Mus musculus: one gene and its partners. The protein of the gene in region 1 interacts with the protein of each later gene in a pairwise test. Links are inferred from orthologs where the notes say so. Each region holds a gene or a part of one and is shown in the gene's direction. Other genes may lie near its edges.

Region 1 (2,043 bases):
CAGGGCTTCGTGCATGCTGGACAAACACTTTACCAACTGAGCTATGGCCCCAGGCTAAGGAATGAGTTAACTGTGGAGACTAGATGAAGGAGGGAAAGACAGCTCCTCCTTTCAAGCGGGTGGGTGCCTGCCTGCCTGCCTGCCTGCCTGCCTGCCTGCCTGCCTGCCTTCCTTCCTTCCTTCCTTCCTTCCTTCCTTCCTTCCTTCCTTCCTTCCTTCCTTCCTTCCTTCCTTCCAGACGGAGTCTTACTGTGTAGCCCAGGCTGATCCTAAAGTTATGGTTCTCCTGCTTCAGCCTCCCAAGAGCTAGGAAACCGGATATGTGCCACTGTGCCAGCTGGAAGGCATTTTAGAGTTGAGGTTATTTGTGAAAATCTGACAGCATTCCTCAGAGGCATTACTGATTCATCTCACTGAAAGATGAAGTGTGTGGAGACCAAATCCCTTGTCTAGAGGCTTCAGTGCTGCTCTTAGACCTCAGAAATGCTAAGTCCACCTTCCACTGAATCCCATGCAGGGAACTACACACACCAGATGGCTGGGCAGAGAGTACTCCTTCCTGGCTGGAGTGGCTTCCCTCCACTGACCTTCCTTCCTCTTTTTTCGTTAGGCCACCCTGGAGAAATGTTCCACATGCTCTGAACCCATCCTGGACCGAATCCTGAGGGCTATGGGGAAGGCGTACCACCCTGGTTGCTTCACCTGTGTGGTATGCCACCGTGGTCTTGATGGCATCCCGTTCACAGTGGACGCCACCAGCCAGATCCACTGCATTGAAGATTTCCACAGGTCTTGCCTGGATTCAGCATGTCTTCACTGACCTATTTCTTCATGTCCCAGGGTCTGCCTCTTCTGTTTCCACCTTCTGGTGCTCTCTTTCTTTGACACCACTTTCTTCCCCAAGACCCAGACACATCTCTTATATCCTTCTCATCCCCACCCCTGCCCCTTCCACCTTCATTGGGCTTCATTTTGAGTCTCCTGATGGTGTGGGAGGGAGGGACCTGATAGCCTCTTTGGTTCCCCTCCACTGCAGGAAATTTGCCCCACGATGCTCAGTGTGTGGTGGGGCCATCATGCCGGAACCAGGTCAGGAGGAGACGGTGAGAATTGTTGCTCTGGATCGAAGTTTCCACATCGGCTGTTACAAGTGTGAGGTGAGGGGGGGTCCCTGGGCAGGAGCGAGAGCTTTGCAGAGCCCGGGAAGCTGGGGGAAAAGCACTGTGGGAAAGTCCCAGGCTAATGAAGGTTTTGTTCTTTCTCACAGGAGTGTGGGCTGCTGCTGTCCTCTGAGGGAGAGTGTCAAGGCTGCTACCCGCTGGATGGGCACATCTTGTGCAAGGCTTGCAGCGCCTGGCGTATCCAAGAGCTCTCAGCCACTGTCACCACTGATTGTTGACTGCTCTGAGAAGTACCTGCTGGGATCTCAGCCCCCGTCCGTCCGTCCGTCACTTCCCCCAACATCTACCCTTAGTGTTTGCCATCAAATGCTGTCTTTTCTTCCTCTCTTCATGAAATAATAATCCCTGGAGCATTTAAAAGCACTTCCAAGTCTGTTCTTTATTGGAGTCTCACAGGATGAGGCTGGTGAAAGCTTGAACTCCAGCACTCAGGAGGCGGAGGCAGAGTGTGAGTTTGAGCCCAGCCTAGTTTACATACTAAGTTCCAGGACAGTGAGGGGCTACATAATGAGATCCTGCATATCTTTTATTAACTCTCATCCTGTACTATTGTTGTTGTTACATAAATTAACCTGTTTACTGTAGGCTAGGGATGTCTCAGATGATTGGATTTCTGCTGGTCTTTCAAGTCCTTCAGACTTCTGATGCCAGATACAACAGCAGAAGTGGTGTCGCAGATCTGGGCTGCACCAGCCACCACAGTGCCAGATGCCAGTGGCCTGTTTTCTTCATCTTGGTCTTGCTCCAGAAGGAACAAATATACCTGGTGTGCTCATCGATTTCAATTTTCCATGCCATTCTCCAGAGGGAGGCATCATCTCGGATCCTATGTTTACTTACGATGCTGACCTGCTCGGTGCAT
Region 2 (3,967 bases), on another chromosome or scaffold:
TGTTTTAAGCTAAGTCTCACTGTGTAGCTCTGGCTGGTCTGGAGCTCCCTTTGTGAGCCACAAATCCTCTGCCTCCCAAGTGCTGGCTAAATCTGTGTTCTTACAACCTCCAAATAAAACCATATCCTGCTGCCGGCAGGAGGGCTGACCGCAGTGGTGCTTGCTGTAAAGCCTCACATTTGTTGGACCTCCCAGAGCCACTTAGTGGAAGGAGAGAGCCCATCCCTACAAATTGTCTGACCTGTGCACATGCACAAATAAAAGAAAATTTTAATTTAAAAAAAAAAATCCGCTGGGCGGTAGTGCCACACACCTCTACTTGATCCTAGCACTCAGGAGATAGAGGCAGGAGGATCTCTGAGTTTTATGCCAGCCAGGTGTACAGAGAAAGTTCCAGGACAGCCAGGGCTACACAGAGAAACCCTGTTTCAGAAAAACAAAATAAAATAAGATAAATCTTGTCTGTTCTTGCACATTTGTCTTTGTGCTGGAATGCTGACAATAAGTCACCAGTAAGAGCAGCGTCTTTAACCCTTTATTAAGGGCCAGATGATGGAACCAAGGCTTCTAAACACACCCTGGGAAACCTACTGGCAATTAGTGTAGGGCCTGGAGCCCAAGATGAGTCACTCAGCTCAGTGTCCCTGATCCGGTTCTACACAATCAAATACAACTCGGTGCAGATAATCGGGACAATGGGGCTGTGTGCTGCGAACCGGGGGAGGTCAGGGGAGGAGGCTGCTGCAGGCTCGAGCCAGCGGCAGGCTGGGGCGAGACTTCGGGAAGCAAGGTAGTGCGGCAGCAGTGGGGCGAGGGTCCAGCCGGGAGATTGACCACGGAACAGTGGGGCGGGGCTTGCAGCTCGGTAAAGGATTGGACAGAAACGGGGGGGGGGGCGCCCGCAGAGCCCCCCCCCCCCCCGCTGTGGATCTTTTCAACTGCCAGGTGACTCAGCCCCAAAGGCGCGAAAGGGCAAGCACGTGAGATGTGCGGGGGGGGGGGGGGGGGGGAGTAGAAAGGGTGCCCCACGTGGGAAAAGGGGGCTGTGGGGAGGCGGTGAAATGACCACAGTTTCAGGAGATCACACTTCCGACGTGGGGGTGGGACTTTCCAGGGGGCGGGACACCCCCAAGGGCCAAGAGCTAAGGCAGGTGGGGGCGTGGCTTTGAGGTCCCGCCTCTCCCGCCTCCTCAGCCGGGGGCTCCAGGAACACCGGACGCTGCTGCGCAACCGCTCGGTTGCCCGGCCATGGGTCTCAGTCCTGCTTCAACCCACCGCGAGCCAGCCCCATCTGCCGCTTGACTGGATGTGCAGGTAAGACCAACACCAACCGGTTTAGGGTGGGTGCAGGCCACCGAAGAAAGCGAGGCGGGGCCCCCTCTTCTCCACAATCCTTCTCCTAGCCCAGGGTTGTCTGCAATACCCTCTTTTGTCCTGGAGGCCTTCTTGGCCCTCAGTCCCACCCAGGAATGGACTGCTTTCAGAGCTCTTGCGCGGAATCCTGCCTGTAACTCAACTTCTGGGCGGTCTCTGTCTACTCTGCTCGCGCTAAGTCCCCTCAGTGCCTTGGCATTGCCCTCCGGGTGTTGACCACGGACCTCGCTCTGGTGTGCACACACCCCCTGGCCTCTGCACTGTGCAAGGACCCTGGCACAAGTTTGATCTTCTTAAGGCTAACCCCAGCAGCTCACTCCGCCTTTGTGCTGCCCCAGCCAACCCACCCACGCCCATTGAAAACCACAGGTGTCCAACCCAGTCACGGATTAGTGGCACGTGGCACTGAATTGCAATGTGGATGCATTTGCTCTGGGTTCTTAAGATTTAAAAAAGAAAAGAAAAGCCGATCAGAAAACCGTTTTAAATTGTTATGCCAGCATTCAGCAGAGGCTAGTGGATCTCTGATTTTGAGGCCAGTGTGGTCTCAAAGCAAGTTCTAGGTCAGTTGGGATGCATCGAGAGACCCTGCTTTATGAGTAAATAAATAGAAATTGCTTTTTAAAGGTCACTTTGGCCTTCAGCACAGACTTCTTGCACAGAGGGCCTCTGATCCTGTAGGTTGCACTCACCCAATCTTGATTCTAGTCTCTGGCCACTGCTTTGTTCAAGTGCCCTTCCATCAGGGGCCACCTGCACTGATCTGTCTTCTGTATCCACAGGCAGCCATCATGGGCCAGTGCTACTACAACGAGACCATCGGCTTTTTCTATAATAACAGCGGCAAGGAGCTCAGCCTTCACTGGCGCCCCAAAGATGTGGTGGTGGTGGCCCTGGGGCTGACAGTCAGTGTGCTGGTATTGCTGACCAATCTGCTGGTTATTGCAGCCATCGCCTCCAACCGACGCTTCCACCAGCCCATATACTACCTGCTTGGCAACTTGGCTGCGGCTGACCTCTTCGCTGGCATGGCCTACCTCTTCCTCATGTTCCATACTGGCCCACGCACTGCCAGGCTCTCCATCAAAGGCTGGTTCCTGCGACAGGGCCTGCTGGACACCAGCCTCACGGCGTCAGTGGCCACACTGCTGGCCATCGCTGTGGAACGGCACCGCAGTGTGATGGCGGTACAGCTACACAGCCGCCTGCCCCGGGGCCGTGTGGTCACACTCATCGTGGGTGTGTGGGCGGCTGCACTGGGTCTGGGGTTGCTACCTGCACACTTCTGGCACTGCCTCTGTGACTTGGACAGTTGCTCACGCATGGTGCCCCTGTTCAGCCGCTCCTACTTGGCTGCGTGGGCCCTATCCAGCCTGCTTGTCTTCCTACTCATGGTAGCTGTCTACACACGAATTTTCTTCTATGTGCGTAGACGGGTGGAACGCATGGCGGAGCACGTCAGCTGCCATCCCCGCTACCGAGAGACCACACTCAGCCTAGTCAAGACGGTTGTCATCATTCTGGGTGAGTGGGTGCTCTGACAATAGCTTTAGGAGGGGACTTGCCATAGGACCCTGGGACCCTGAAGCAATAAGGGAGGGGGTGTTTCCCAAGCAGACTCCAAAGAGGTAAAAATGCCAGCCTACAAGAGGAGAAAAGGCTAGCCTCAGTTTTCACCTGTTTCTCAAAGGAAACCATTTATCGGTCTTTTTTGTTTGATTGTGTTTCAGGCAGAGTCTCATGTAGCCCAGGCTGGCTTCATGACCTTATCCTTATCTTTTTGCCTTTGTCTCTCAAGGGATAGGGCAGGCTAGCATTCTTGTAATCAGTTGCCATCCTCAGCCCTGGTTGGTTTTGTTTTGTTGTTTTGTTTTGTGAGATAAGGTCTCTGAGGCCCTGGTTGTCCTGGAACTCAATCTGTAGTCCAGGCAGGCTGGCCTTCAACCCAAAAAAGTTCTGCCTGCCTCTGCCTCCCGAATGCTGGGATTAAAGGTGTGGTTCACTACATCCCCAGCCTTTCTTCAGATTTATTTTTTATTTGTGCATGTGTGTTTGTGTGACTGTGAGATTGTATTTGGGTTTATGCAGATGTGTGCGGGTGCATGCTGAGGCTAGAGGCATCCTAGGCCCTTGGAGCTGAGAGTACAAGCAGTTTTGAGCTGTCTGATGTAGGTGTCGGGGATGAGACTCTGGTACTCTGAACCATTAAAGCCATCTCTCTCTAGCCCTGGTTGTTATTTTTGCTTACTTGTTTATTTGACTTTCTTTTGAGGTTGGGTATCACTGTATAGTCCAGACTGGCTTGGAGCTCACTTGGTAGACCAGGCTGGCCTCAAACTCACACAGATACATGCCTCTGTGCCCCCCTGCCCTCCACCTCCGAGTGCTGGGATTAAAATAAGCACCATCACACTGGGCTGGCTTCATTTCTTTAATTCAGGGTTTCATGAAGTTCAGGGGGGACCTGAAGCTCTCTCTGTAGCTGAGGCAGGCCTCAGAGCCCTGATCTTCCTATTCCTCTTCCCCTGGGACGATGGGTATGTGCCACCACACCTTCCTATTCCTCTTCCCCTGGGGCGATGGGTATGTGCCA
Region 3 (3,927 bases), on another chromosome or scaffold:
CCAGAGAAGAGTTCTTCCCTCGAGCTTACGCTTGGCTGAGGTGTAGCCGGAGGGGGCCGGGTGGGGAGTCCACGTCTGCGTTTAGCCACCGGGACAAGGTGGGTGGGGGAGCGTTCCTTCGCTTGGTTTCCCCGAGAACCACCATCGACTGACTGCTCAGTGCACAGGTTACCTCGCTTGCGATGAAATGAATGATCCACAGTTAGCCCTGAGGAGTGAGTGAGGTCGGTTACCAGGGCTAGCTAGAGCTGAGGCGTTCCATGCCCACAGCAGATTTCGAGACCAGCAGAATTTGAAAGGAGGACCGGGAGGTCGCCAGCTTGTCCAGGCAGGAAAGGTGAGGGTGCCAGTGCAAGCTGGGGAAGCCTGAGAACTTTCCCGAGTTGCAAGCCAAGGCAGCAGGCGCGGGCCTTGCCTCGGATGACGCAGGGCTGGCGGGTTGGAGGGTTAACAGTAAGGATACAATGAGTCCTCTTTAGATGCTCACCCGGGGGGCACCAAGGGCACTTCGTAATTAGAAATCAGCCGACTTCCCCGCCCCCTTGGGTATTTTACCAAGTAGGAGCCAAATCCTGACACCCGTCGCTGCGAGTCTCCCAGGTTGCCTGAGTTGCACCCTGCACTCACCCTGTCCCCCTCCAACTAGGTTGCAGGGAGCCGGGGAGGCGCGCGAGCACCGATCGGTCACCACTCCAATGACCTCATCGCCCCAACTTCCCCGCCCCTTTCTCAAACCTGGAAGGCACAGTCCCCTCCGGTCGGTGTCGGGGATCCGGAGCCACAGTTGCGGAGAGACAACCCGGCCTCCCCTGGAGCGAGCGCCGCTCCAGCCCGGGTGCATAGAAGGGTTAAGGGCGCGGGCCGGCAGCCGCGCCGTGCGCTCGCCGTGCTCTGTGCGGCTCGCCGGGCCGCCTGCCAGAGGGTGCCTCCCCCCCCCCTCCCCCCCCATGAAGTCGGATCCTTGAGCTGCGGCGGCGGCAGCCAACTGCTCCATATTTGGCTTCTATTACACATTTACATACTGGAGCGAGCGAGCGAGCGCGAGAGAGAGCGCGAGGGAGGGAGGGCGGGCGGAGGGAGGAGGGAGGGGAGGGGGGAGGAGGAGGAGGAGGAGGAGAGAGCAGAGTATACCGCAGACATCATTTCTACTACAGTGGAGGAGCCGTACAGGACCTGTTTCACTGCAGGGGGATCCAAAACAAGCCCTGTGGAGCCGCAGCTAGAGCTACAGCAGCCGCAGGACACTGTGTCTCTCCCTCTGTTACCCCTTCCCCACGCAACCCCAGATCCATTTACACTTTACAGTAAGTGGCTATTTTTTTTCCTCCTCTGATTCTTTCTCTCCCCCTCCCCCTTCCACCCCGATTTAGATTAAAATCACCCCCTCCCGCACCCCAATCTGCTCTCTCCGGAGAGGGGCCAAAGAACATCCAGCATACACCCCCCCTCCCCCAGTCTCAATGGGCTGCACGGAAAACAGCTGGAAGAGGAGCGAAGGAAACCGACGCGTCGTGGTGTGTGTGTGTGTGTGTGTGTGTGTGTGTGTGCAGGCGCGCGCGCGAGTGTATGTGTGACTGTGTGTACATACACTAGTGCCCGGCTCCAGCCTCCCGGCTCGGGACCCCCTCTGGGAGCAGGAGCGGCTAGCAAGGGCAGCAGATAGGGGCTGGGTGGGCGGCCGCCAGGAGAGGGGGCGCGCCCGGGCGGGGGGCGCGGGTGGGGAGAACGGCGGCGCCCCGTTTCGGCTGCTGCCGGTCCGGCGGCGGCGAGCGGATAGAGCCCGGTCCTCCTCCTTCCGTGTGGCGCAGGGGGAGGCGGCAGCCGCGGAGGGTCGCGCTGCCCTCTTCGCTCCTCTCCAGTCCCCCCTCCCGGGTGGGGGCGGTGAGCGCTGCGGGGGCTCGAGGGAGGGCTGGGCTTCCCCGCCCGGGGTCGCCTAGCTTGACAGAGGCAACCCCGAGCTTGGGGTCTCCCCGCCTAGGCCAGCCTCTCGGGGCTACGAGGGGACCAAGAGGGGACTTTGCGTGAGGCTAGGGGCGCGGAGAGGTGGCGCCTCAGGAGGCAAGGGCGCGCGGGCCATCGCAGCGCAGCGGGAGAAGACCGGCCCTAGCTGCAGCTGCCACCGCCGCCCTGTTGGTGCGGCCGCTTCCTGATCCAGAGCAGCAGCAGCAGACGCCGCCGCCACCGCCGGAGCTGGAGCCGGGAGCCCGCGAGCGCCCCAGCCCGGCCCGGCGACTCTGCCGGCGCCCGCAGCAGTAGCGGAGGAGCTGCGGGCGCTGCCCTGCGCCGGGACTGCTCTGCTGCGCGGCGGCAGAGAGGGTGAATGAAGACGGGAGGAGGGGAAGGAGGAGGTGGCGGCGGAGGAGGCGCTGCGGGGATTGGGATGTGCCCCGGAGCCCCGCGGCTCGTTCACTCGGGGCCCGAGTCGCCGCCACTGCCACTGCCAGGGCTGCCGCCGCCACCGCCGCCGCCTCCTACGTGGTTGCAGCCGAGCGCGCAGGCCGGTCCCGCAGGGGGCAGGGAAGGGGCCGGACGGGCGGAGCGAGAGGTGAGGCGGGGTCGGAGAGGAGGGAGTAAGTGCGTGTGAGTGTGTAGGTGCGTGTGTGCGTGTGTTCGCGCGCCGGGCGGGGACCAGGACCATCGCGATGGGGAGCGGGGAGTGGGGGTGGGGGTCCACGGTGGTCCCTTGGTTGACTCTGCAGCGCTTCGACCTCTCTTGAGCCGCCTCCTTCAACTCTGTGGCTTGTGCGCTTTCATTTTATTTCAGACCACGTAGAGAGCTGACTGCAAGAGGTGAAACAATTCAGGTTTTCTAGGGAGATTGAGCAAGGACCTTAGTGGTGGGGGGTGGAAGTAGGGTGCTGTATCTAGACTCTGCCAGGGGCGCGGGGGGTGGGGTGGGGGGAGGATCAGGGGTAAGAGGATGGGGTTTAGTTCGATCCCGTGGCTGTCCTGTTTTGTTTTGCTTTCTTGCTGTATAATCCTACAGATAAGAGGGCAATATAAATACTTGGGGAAGGTTGGGAAATTGCTGAAGAGTAGTAAGGGCGGAAAAAAAAAAAAAGAAGCCAGTCGGAAGCTGGTTATATAATGCGCTATGTGGCTAACAAGAAAGGCAAGCTATTTTTATTTTGTTTACCGTATGTTGTGCAGTAGGAACTCCTCCAAACTGGTTCTGTCCCCGAAGAGGTTTCTTAGTTTGTCAGAGAGAGAGCCACAGGATACAATTAGTAAAATTAGAAGACCCCACACCACCTACAGAATAAAAAGTAATGCTTTAGAGTTCTCACCTCACATTCTGCCTGGTATGCAGGGGAATGTGTGTATGCCCTATGTTTCCCTGTAGCAACCTAGTAGTGTCATCTCAGTGACATTTCTGTTTTATAATGCGAGCTCTTCTTAATATTTAAACAGCACTGCTATAGATCGTAGGCAACAAGGTAGTTACATGCTGGGTATTTTTAGGCGCAGCTGGTTACTTTTTTGCAATAGTGTTTGCTAAACCGTGTCCAGCTTTATGAAGAGCCCTGCCATTCCTAGAAGCCTGGGTTAAGCCTACCCTCTGGTTTACTGATGGTGGGTGGGTAGCTAAGACAGTTTGATAGCCGAGGGTTTTTATTTTTATTTTATTTTTGAATGAAGCTTATGCCAGGGGAAGCTAGAGGTAGCCACCAGAGAGAAGAAAAAACATGCGCAAGAACTCTTGGAAAGGGATTGCACCATAACAGCTTAGCTGTGGCATTTAATCTCCTCTGATTGTCCTCTAACTGGCCACGCATCAGTCAATATTTTAGCAGCTTTGCAAATAAATTGGCTTGAACGCCACCTTCCACATAAAGCTGAGGCTGAGAAGCCTCCTGCCTGTCTGCCTCTCTCATCATAGATACTGTCTGTGGTGTTAGTTTTCTGTACACTTACTCCAGCCCTGAT
Region 4 (4,106 bases), on another chromosome or scaffold:
CCTCTACTACCCACATAAGACAAACCAAGCATCTAAGAATCCAGCTCACACAGATACCCATATATGGTCCTGTAACTTTTCTAATTGGACTGAAGACTATAGAGTACTCTTCGTCCTGTCAGCTAACTTCTGCCCCCAAGAGGCTAAAGAGGAAACCACAGCTGGGTAAAGTACTGCTGCCGGGACCCAAGAATTTACAGGTCCATGAGTCTTTTTTTTTTTTTTTTTTAAAGATGTATGAGTGCTCTGCTGCATATACATCCACAGGCCAGAAGAGGGCATCAAATCCCCTTACAGATGGTTGTGAGCCACCATGTGATTGCTAGGATTTAAACTCAGAACCTCTAGAAGAGCAATCAGTGCTCTTAACCGCTGAGCCATCTCTCCAGCCCCAGGTTTTGGGGGGTTTTGTTGTTGTTGTTGTTGTTTCCCCACACACACACTGATTAACCCTTCGAACATTTAGCTTAAAATTCTCCATTTGCATTTCAAGGACCAACAATACCCAGTACGGTGCATTGTTTAAAAATGTAACTCTGACTTTCGACTCCCTAGCACTTAATTCAGCTATCACCTATTAAGTTCATGAACTTGGGTAAATTAACCACGTGAAAAATTAAGTTAGCAACAGATGTTTGTGGAAATAAGATGGCGGGAATTCGGTGTGCTACGTGGGAAGCTCTTGATAGAAAACCTGGAGCAAACTCGCAGACAACAAATGTGAAAAAAAAGTAAGCTAATTTTTATATTTATTAATTTGCAAACTGTAATAGTTATTAGCGCTCATCGTTGACTGCCTAAATCTGATTTTTGTTATGGTCTTGTCCCGTCTCACAAAGGGAAACTAGCCACGGTTCAGAATTCTACAGCACCAAATGAAAACAAAGAAAGTCCACACTTTCCTTTTCACCTGCCTACCCCACTCTCAGCCCCACTCCTGCCCCCACCCCCGCCCAGCCCTGCCCCCGCCTCTGTCCTCCCAAGTCCCACTCCCTACCACCCCCCCACGTCCCCTTCTATCTCCCCACCCCAGTGAGACTGCTTCCCCCTCCACGCCGCCCCCATCTCCCTACTCCCCCAACCCCTCTCCCTCCTACCCCACTAGCCCCCCCTAACCCGTGAGACTGATCCCTCCCCATCACAAAACACGCCCAAGCCGGGTTGGTCTCGCCCGCAGCCACGCTCAGCATTGAGACCACGCCCCTTCTGAAGGCTAAGCCCCTCCCACGAACGGCCTTCTTCGCAGAGACGTACATAAGGTACATAAGGTCGCTTATTGGCTGTTAGCAAATACTCCCTCTTCTCATTAGTTGATACCGTCCGGGTCGAAGTTCCACGGAAGATGCTCTTAGCTGCTTGGGCTGAGGGTTACAGGCATGTGTACTTCCGTTTCCGGTGTGTCCTGAAGCCATGGCCACCGCCAGGACACCGAGATTTCTGCTGCTGTTCTGCAGATCCTGCCGCAGCCTTCGAGGACCCCAGTCCCGAGTAAGTGCATCTTCCTCTGCTGGCGGAGAACTGGGTTTCCAGAGACATCTCTCGGAGGAGGAGCGACCTCGGCGATGCCTCGGGCAGCAAGCACCTGCAACCATTCTGTTTCTTTCGCTGTCTGCAGGCATACGCCGCCCTTGTGCCCGGTGTGTCCCAGGTAGACAACGGGTCGGATTTCCTGGGGAAGAAGCCCCATCGAAAGCATCCCGGCATCCTGCATCTTCCGCACGTCCAGCTGCCGCAAGCACTGGCTGACGCCGCACAGTTAATGCTTTTTGGTGAGAAACTGCGGGAAGGGGAAGCCAGATAAAACCAAACGAGGCCAGCACGCAGCGATGACCCTTTCCATCTGTGACCACAGAGAGACCCATGCGCAGTGTAGAGAAGCAGGTGCAAGCACTCACCAACTATCTCTGGAGCCGACATTTACCTGTAGAGCCGGAGGAGTTGCAAAGACGGGCTGCGTATCTTGAGAAAAAATTCCTGGAAAAACAAGGTAGGGCTTAAAACTAAAAGGCAAACCAGATTAAAATGTCAACGAGAAATTAGGATCAAAGAATAATTTAAATCTCTCAGATAAATACTGCTGTTTCTCATTTGATGCTGTAGTAACAGCCCTACTAGATGATGCCCTGCTAAGAAGGTAGGTTGGGCCAGAGGTTGCCCTTGGAGATTGGGTAAAGGTCAGAAGTTTTGGTCTTTCGGGTTTTTTTATAAAAAATTTCCCCTCCACCGCTGCAAGTCAAAGAGATTATGACTATATTTTGATTCAGGTAAGTAAAGGCCATATGGCAGGCAGTTCAGTAAACACGAAACCCCACCTCGGATAGAAAATTATTACATTTCAGATTATTTTTAAGACTATGGACTTCATATTGTAAATTTGCCTTTTATTCTTGTATTCCCTGCACGTCCCACAGTACCTGGTTCAGGGTAGTGTCTTAGTGTTCTATTGTTGAAGAGATACCATAATCACGGCAACTCTTAGAAAAGAGAGCTTTTAACTGGGGCTGGCTTACAGTTTCAGAGGTTTAGTCGGTTGTCAGCATGACAGCATGCAGGCAGGCATGGTGCTGAAGAAATAGCTGAGAGTTCTGCATCTGCATCGGGAACTGCAGGAACAGAGCGAGACTCTGGGCTTCTCATGGCCTTTTGAAACCTCAAAGCCCACCTCCTAATCCTTTCACGTAGTGCTACTCCCTGGTGACCAAGCATTCCAGCGGATGAGCCATTGGGGAGCAAATGGGGCCATTGTCATTCAAGCCACTACTGTAGGTGTTTGTAGAAATTTGCCCAGTGGTACAGAGCTCCACACAGTCCGGAGACTTGGATTTTCAAGCCCCTTTCTATGGTAATATTGAAGATGTCTCACTCCTAAGTGTCAGAGAGTGAAAAAGTCTATAAAAGTGCCCTTATCCTGGCTTTTATTTTTATCACATGGACAGGAGAGATGGTACAGAGTAAAAAAGCACTCACCACCAAACCTGATGACCTTCTACCAAATGGGTGAAGGTGAGAACTGACTCGGACCTATATGCACACAAGAAGTAAATATTTAAAAAAAAAAAATCATTTTTATCAGGCTTCTGCTCACTATGACGCAAAACTTGGATGGGTTAAGTTGACTAAACTACTATTCTAATAGTCTAGATACTATTAGGTAGATAATATACAGACAAGATAGTGTTGGAAAGTCTTTGATACTCTGGTGATGGTGGCGGTCATCAGTCTTATCCCTCTTCCCTGAAGTTTTGACCTTTCTCGGACTTTGAGCATTTTCTCAGACAGGAATGGGGAAGGCTGGGAGGCGTGTACTTCACGGGATCTAAGCCGTTCTCCTAAGTCCTCACCTCCAGTTCTTCTCACCCTAGACTCAGCTCCCACAGAGGAGAAACTTCGTGAGGCAGTACTGCATGCCCTGCGCAAAACTACCTACCATTGGCAGGAACTCAGGTACGGTCTTCCAGAAAGGGTACAAAGAAGGCATGTTACACGTGAGGAGAGCTGAAGAGGTAGTCAGCTTTGCGTTTGAGAAAGCCTCCTGAAGTCTTCTGTACTAGAAAGTGGAAGGACTAACCAGAAGAATCGTTTCAGATTTTTTGTTTCATAAACTTTAGAAGGTAACTGGGGCTAGGTTATTTCCTAAGTGGGGGAGGGGGGAGTCTCTGACTTGTTGTTGTTGTTGTTGTTTGACAGCTACAGTGAAGAGCTGAGTCTGATCTATATGGCAGCCAGATTGGACGGTGGTTTTGCTGCAGTTTTCAGGGCATTCCATGAGGTGAGAGTCTCTCAGCATCCAACCCAGCCCCCTTTGCCATTGGTTTTGTTTTCTGTAAATTAGCCTTCTGTGGTAGGAGTTCTTGGGATGTTATGCACACACTAATGGTTTTATTTATCCTTTGAAAACAATCCTGTGGCCTAAGAAAGGTTAGAATCACTGAGATGTTTCCTATCTGAAAGTATTTTTTTAATTCATTTACTGTATGTGAGTACACTGTTGCTGTCTTCAGACCCACCAGAAGAGGGCATCCGACCCCATTACAGATGGTTGTGAGCCGCCATGTGGTTGCTGGGAATTGAACTCAGGACCTCTGAAAGAGCAGTCAGTGCTCTTA
Region 5 (3,982 bases), on another chromosome or scaffold:
CCGTTGGGACGAGGGTGGTGGTGGGGCGCTGTGTGCTCTCCCTCTGGACTCAGGGAGACTCATGGATGAACTAAATCTACCCAGAGGGCAGTGTTCTCCACGATGGTTGCCTGTTGTCTGACCATCCTCCCACTCCCCCACCCCCCACCCCCAGTGCTGGGAGTCTGATTCTATTCCCTGTTGTTACCTCCAGTGCCTAGAGACTCGATGCTAGCTGGTGCCCCAGAGGTTTCCGTAGACCCTCTGCTTTATAGGTGTTTATAACCCCATACTATGGGGGTGTGGGTTTGGTTTCCGAGGCCACCCTTCCTCCCTGTGAACGTTCCAACACGATTTTCAGGAAGTCGGGAGCCTTAGCCCTGGTCCTTGCTACCTCTGCCTCGCACCTGCCCTTATTGGTGTTTCACAATGCAACTCTAAACACGTCCGTCCTCAGCTGAAAGTCCTTCCGTGACTCCCCAGTGCCTGTAAGGCAAAGTCCAAACTCCTCCAAAGACCCGAGGCCAGGAAATCGGACCCCTCAGGGTCTGCCCAACACCAACCTCATCCTGGAACCTGCTCTCAAAGGTTGGACAGGCAGAAGTTACTGATTCTTACCCCGGGCCTTTCCCCTCGGTGCTTCTTCACTTCCTCTAGGAAGTCATAGACACCCTCCCCTGTCAGGTGACCGTTCATTGACAGTCACAGCTGTCTCTCCCCACCTCCTTTCATCAAATCACACCTCCCTTTAGTATTCGAATCCTCTGTTTATTCTGTCTGTCTCTCTCTCCCACGGCCGGGAAGCCATCCTTGCGTAGGGCATCCCTGGGTAGTGTTTTGTTCAGGGCTGTGTAGACAGTTCCAGGAACCCCTAAGCGCGTGCATATCATCGCACTTTCTGGCTCCCCAGCGCCCAAAGGTCAGCAGCTCGGGGATGTTGCGGGGCACCGCGCTCGTCGTGGGGCAGGCGCGGCCACCAGGGGTCGCCCGAGGAGCTCGGAAGCCGCGCGGTCCGGTCCGGGAGGAGCCCAAGCGGAATCTCAGCGCCACGCGGCGGGAGCCCCAGCAGCCCAGGCGCACCTGCTCCGGTCTCAGTCTCCGGCCGCGCCGCCGCCAGCCATTGGCTCAGCCTTGACAAAGGGGCGTGACCAACAGTACGGTCACGCCCCCAGCCCTGGTACTTAAAGGAATTTGCTGCTGCTAGGGGATCGTAGTGTGCGGCCGGGCCTCGCGAGCGGAGTTGACTACCGACCTTGCGCGACCCGGTGACCCCGACTACCTAGGTCGCTCTGGCCAACATGCCGCGCTCCTTCCTGGTCAGGAAGCCGTCCGACCCCCGCCGGAAGCCCAACTATAGCGAGCTGCAGGACGCGTGTGTGGGTGCGTGGTGGGGTGCGGGACGCGGGCGGCTGGGGGGGATCCCAAGGGTGCTGGGGGGAGGTGAGAATCGGGCTCTGCGGGCGCGACAGGTGGATCTGGAGCTCCGGGTCTTGGCAGTTGGGATCCACCGAGGGTGTCTTTGACCCGGGACGGGGAGGCTCCGGGAGTTGAAGACTCGAAGGCGGGGGTAGCTTTGCGGAGTCCGGGCGGGGGAGGGGAGGGGCGGGCGGGAAGCCCCCCCACCTGGCGCCCCGAGAATCCGCTCAGCTGACTCCCTGCTGTCTCTTCTCTTCCCGCAGAGTTCACCTTCCAGCAGCCCTACGACCAGGCCCACCTGCTGGCCGCCATCCCTCCGCCCGAGGTCCTCAACCCCGCCGCTTCGCTGCCCACCCTCATCTGGGACTCTCTCCTGGTACCCCAAGTGCGGCCGGTTGCCTGGGCCACCCTCCCGCTGCGGGAGAGCCCCAAGGCCGTAGAGCTGACCTCGCTGTCCGATGAGGACAGTGGCAAAAGCTCCCAGCCGCCCAGCCCGCCCTCGCCGGCGCCGTCGTCCTTCTCGTCCACCTCGGCCTCCTCCCTGGAGGCCGAGGCCTTCATCGCCTTCCCTGGCTTGGGCCAACTTCCCAAGCAGCTGGCCAGGCTCTCGGTGGCCAAGGACCCCCAGTCGCGGAAGATCTTCAACTGCAAATATTGTAACAAGGAGTACCTCAGCCTGGGCGCTCTGAAGATGCACATCCGAAGCCACACGCTGCCTTGTGTCTGCACGACCTGTGGAAAGGCCTTCTCTAGGCCCTGGCTGCTTCAGGGCCACGTCCGCACCCACACTGGTGAGTGAGTGTGCATAGCTGAGCTCTGAGTCTGGGCTGTTTGGCCTTAGACCCTGGGGGGACTCAACACTTACTCCTAAGGCTGCCAAGCAGTGGACAAAGTAGATGTTGGTTGTTCTCCATTCTGTACCTTGCTGTTCGAGGCTAGGAGTGAAGAGGTGTTCCCTATCCGGGCTCAACCCACACTGTAGAAGTCAGACAGGATATTGCTAGACAGGATATTCTGCACCTGGCCTTGAATCCTGAGTCGAGAACTTCCCCAGTTTCCTCGTTTCTAAAATGTATCAGAGAACACTTCGTGGGGTCTTTGTAGAGTGAAGTGCTAGGTGCAGGTGCCACTAAGAAATGACTTCCCAGTGACTATGAAGACGGCTCAGTGGTTAGAGCACTGGCTACTCTTCCAGAGGTCCTGAGTTCAATTCCCAGCACACATGGTAGTTCACAACTTAACTAACTGCCTGTTAAGAGTCCAGTTCCAGAGGACCTGACACCCTCATACAGACATACATGCAGGCAACATACCAATCCATGTAGGACAAGAATAGAATAGACACATCTTTTTTTTTTTTTTTTTTTTTTTTTTTTAAGAAGAGAAACAAAGACATGACTTTGCTGTCCTCTCAGCCTTGGGCCACGTGGGAAGCTTCTAGAAGTGAGGGAAGGCTTCAGCCAGGCTTGGTGGGGGTTCCGGTTGGGCTGCTCTTTGGAAAGTGTGTCAGGCTTTGGGGTAGAGCTGTGCGTCTCTTGTGGTGGCCAGCATTGGGGCAGTGAGGCCTGGGGGTGGCAGGGAGGTATTTGCAGGTCTCACTGACACCTTTATTACTTGAATAAGATTACCCGTTTCCCCCCCCCAGGCACGGATTGCCTCAGATTTAACCTATAAAAGTGTAACAGGCTGCCTCTCTCCGGCTGGGTTGCTAAGCTGTGGGGCTCTACTTTGGGGAAGAGCTGAAGCCCTCAGGGTCCTAGGCTGCCTCCGACCACCCCCCACCCCCCAGGGACTTTGTTTTGATGTAAAGGCATGGCTCAGACAAAACCCTCCTTGAAATGCACCACCCAGTTCTCTAGGAGTTCCATTGTGTGTCTTAATGGTAGCCCAGGGGGTGGGGGCCTGCAGGGTTAGAGCAGGTGCACGGGGCAGCGGTGCCCAGCACCTGTTCTTGGCCGCAGCTGCTGGCTCATTGCACGGCAGGCCCCTTTAATCCAGGGGGTATCACATGTACAGTGTCCCCCTTAGTGGCCTTTGTCCCAGCCGGCCTGGTGCCGATTTCACACTTGCCAGGAACACTATGAAGGCGTCTGGGGGTCGGGGATCTGTGAAGAGAGAGAGAGTGTGTGTGTGTGTGGGGGGGGGGGTGTCTACACTTCCTGTGCAAGCCCAGAGACTCCCAGCTCCATCCCACCCTGTGTTATCTTGAAACCTCCCTTTTGTTAAGTACTTCAGTTCGCCTGTCCCTGCTAAACGGACAGGTAGTGGTTAGGCCATTCTAGGGAGGGGGCAACACCCCTTACTTGTAGGGACCCACAGATTGCCAAGGTCCACCACCACCCAGGGCTTTGGAGCCCCACCTGTGTAGCTGAAGACTTGTGTGGGTTTGTGCCCCCTAGGGGGGCTGAAAGCGGCTCTGTTCAGTGAATACCTGCTGAGTGGGTGGATCCCGCAGGATCCCTGCTGAGATTTCCTCTATCCAGAGGCTCAGCACACCCAGGCGCCATTCCTCAGCCCCGAATTCCATCACTAGAATCCAACCAAAGGGCACCGCCTGTGGACTAGCAGGCTGGGAGGGACGGGAGGC

Evidence for each region. The genes of interacting proteins can lie anywhere in the genome.
Region 2: the proteins of Trip6 (region 1) and Lpar2 interact in a two-hybrid assay, tested with the Homo sapiens proteins (2 studies listed by BioGRID). The link is inferred for Mus musculus from reciprocal best matches to the Homo sapiens genes TRIP6 and LPAR2.
Region 3: the proteins of Trip6 (region 1) and Atxn1 interact in binary tests that used the Homo sapiens proteins (3 or more experiments, as listed by UniProt). The link is inferred for Mus musculus from reciprocal best matches to the Homo sapiens genes TRIP6 and ATXN1.
Region 4: the proteins of Trip6 (region 1) and Mettl17 interact in binary tests that used the Homo sapiens proteins (3 or more experiments, as listed by UniProt). The link is inferred for Mus musculus from reciprocal best matches to the Homo sapiens genes TRIP6 and METTL17.
Region 5: the proteins of Trip6 (region 1) and Snai1 interact in binary tests that used the Homo sapiens proteins (3 or more experiments, as listed by UniProt). The two-hybrid records come from large-scale screens. The link is inferred for Mus musculus from reciprocal best matches to the Homo sapiens genes TRIP6 and SNAI1.

Annotation. Positions count from the first base shown.
Region 1 is NC_000071.6:137,309,399-137,311,441, reverse strand, and holds the end of Trip6 (thyroid receptor-interacting protein 6), read left to right. Parts: intron 1-610; coding exon 611-789; exon of another isoform or gene 790-841; intron 842-1,036; coding exon 1,037-1,157; intron 1,158-1,267; coding exon 1,268-1,399; 3' UTR 1,400-1,543; downstream 1,544-2,043. UniProt on the Homo sapiens protein: Relays signals from the cell surface to the nucleus to weaken adherens junction and promote actin cytoskeleton reorganization and cell invasiveness. Involved in lysophosphatidic acid-induced cell adhesion and migration.
Region 2 is NC_000074.6:69,821,398-69,825,364, forward strand, and holds the start of Lpar2 (lysophosphatidic acid receptor 2), read left to right. Parts: upstream 1-1,167; 5' UTR 1,168-1,314; intron 1,315-2,156; 5' UTR 2,157-2,165; coding exon 2,166-2,898; intron 2,899-3,967. UniProt on the Homo sapiens protein: Receptor for lysophosphatidic acid (LPA), a mediator of diverse cellular activities. Seems to be coupled to the G(i)/G(o), G(12)/G(13), and G(q) families of heteromeric G proteins. Plays a key role in phospholipase C-beta (PLC-beta) signaling pathway.
Region 3 is NC_000079.6:45,962,192-45,966,118, reverse strand, and holds the start of Atxn1 (ataxin-1), read left to right. Parts: upstream 1-1,127; 5' UTR 1,128-1,304; intron 1,305-1,493; exon of another isoform or gene 1,494-1,514; intron 1,515-1,734; exon of another isoform or gene 1,735-2,545; intron 2,546-2,681; exon of another isoform or gene 2,682-2,790; intron 2,791-3,927. UniProt on the Homo sapiens protein: Chromatin-binding factor that repress Notch signaling in the absence of Notch intracellular domain by acting as a CBF1 corepressor. Binds to the HEY promoter and might assist, along with NCOR2, RBPJ-mediated repression. Binds RNA in vitro.
Region 4 is NC_000080.6:51,883,536-51,887,641, forward strand, and holds the start of Mettl17 (methyltransferase-like protein 17, mitochondrial precursor), read left to right. Parts: upstream 1-1,306; 5' UTR 1,307-1,410; coding exon 1,411-1,488; intron 1,489-1,615; coding exon 1,616-1,769; intron 1,770-1,852; coding exon 1,853-1,987; intron 1,988-3,362; coding exon 3,363-3,444; intron 3,445-3,687; coding exon 3,688-3,769; intron 3,770-4,106. UniProt on the Homo sapiens protein: Mitochondrial ribosome (mitoribosome) assembly factor. Binds at the interface of the head and body domains of the mitochondrial small ribosomal subunit (mt-SSU), occluding the mRNA channel and preventing compaction of the head domain towards the body.
Region 5 is NC_000068.7:167,537,013-167,540,994, forward strand, and holds the start of Snai1 (zinc finger protein SNAI1), read left to right. Parts: upstream 1-1,182; 5' UTR 1,183-1,277; coding exon 1,278-1,359; intron 1,360-1,658; coding exon 1,659-2,186; intron 2,187-3,982. UniProt on the Homo sapiens protein: Involved in induction of the epithelial to mesenchymal transition (EMT), formation and maintenance of embryonic mesoderm, growth arrest, survival and cell migration.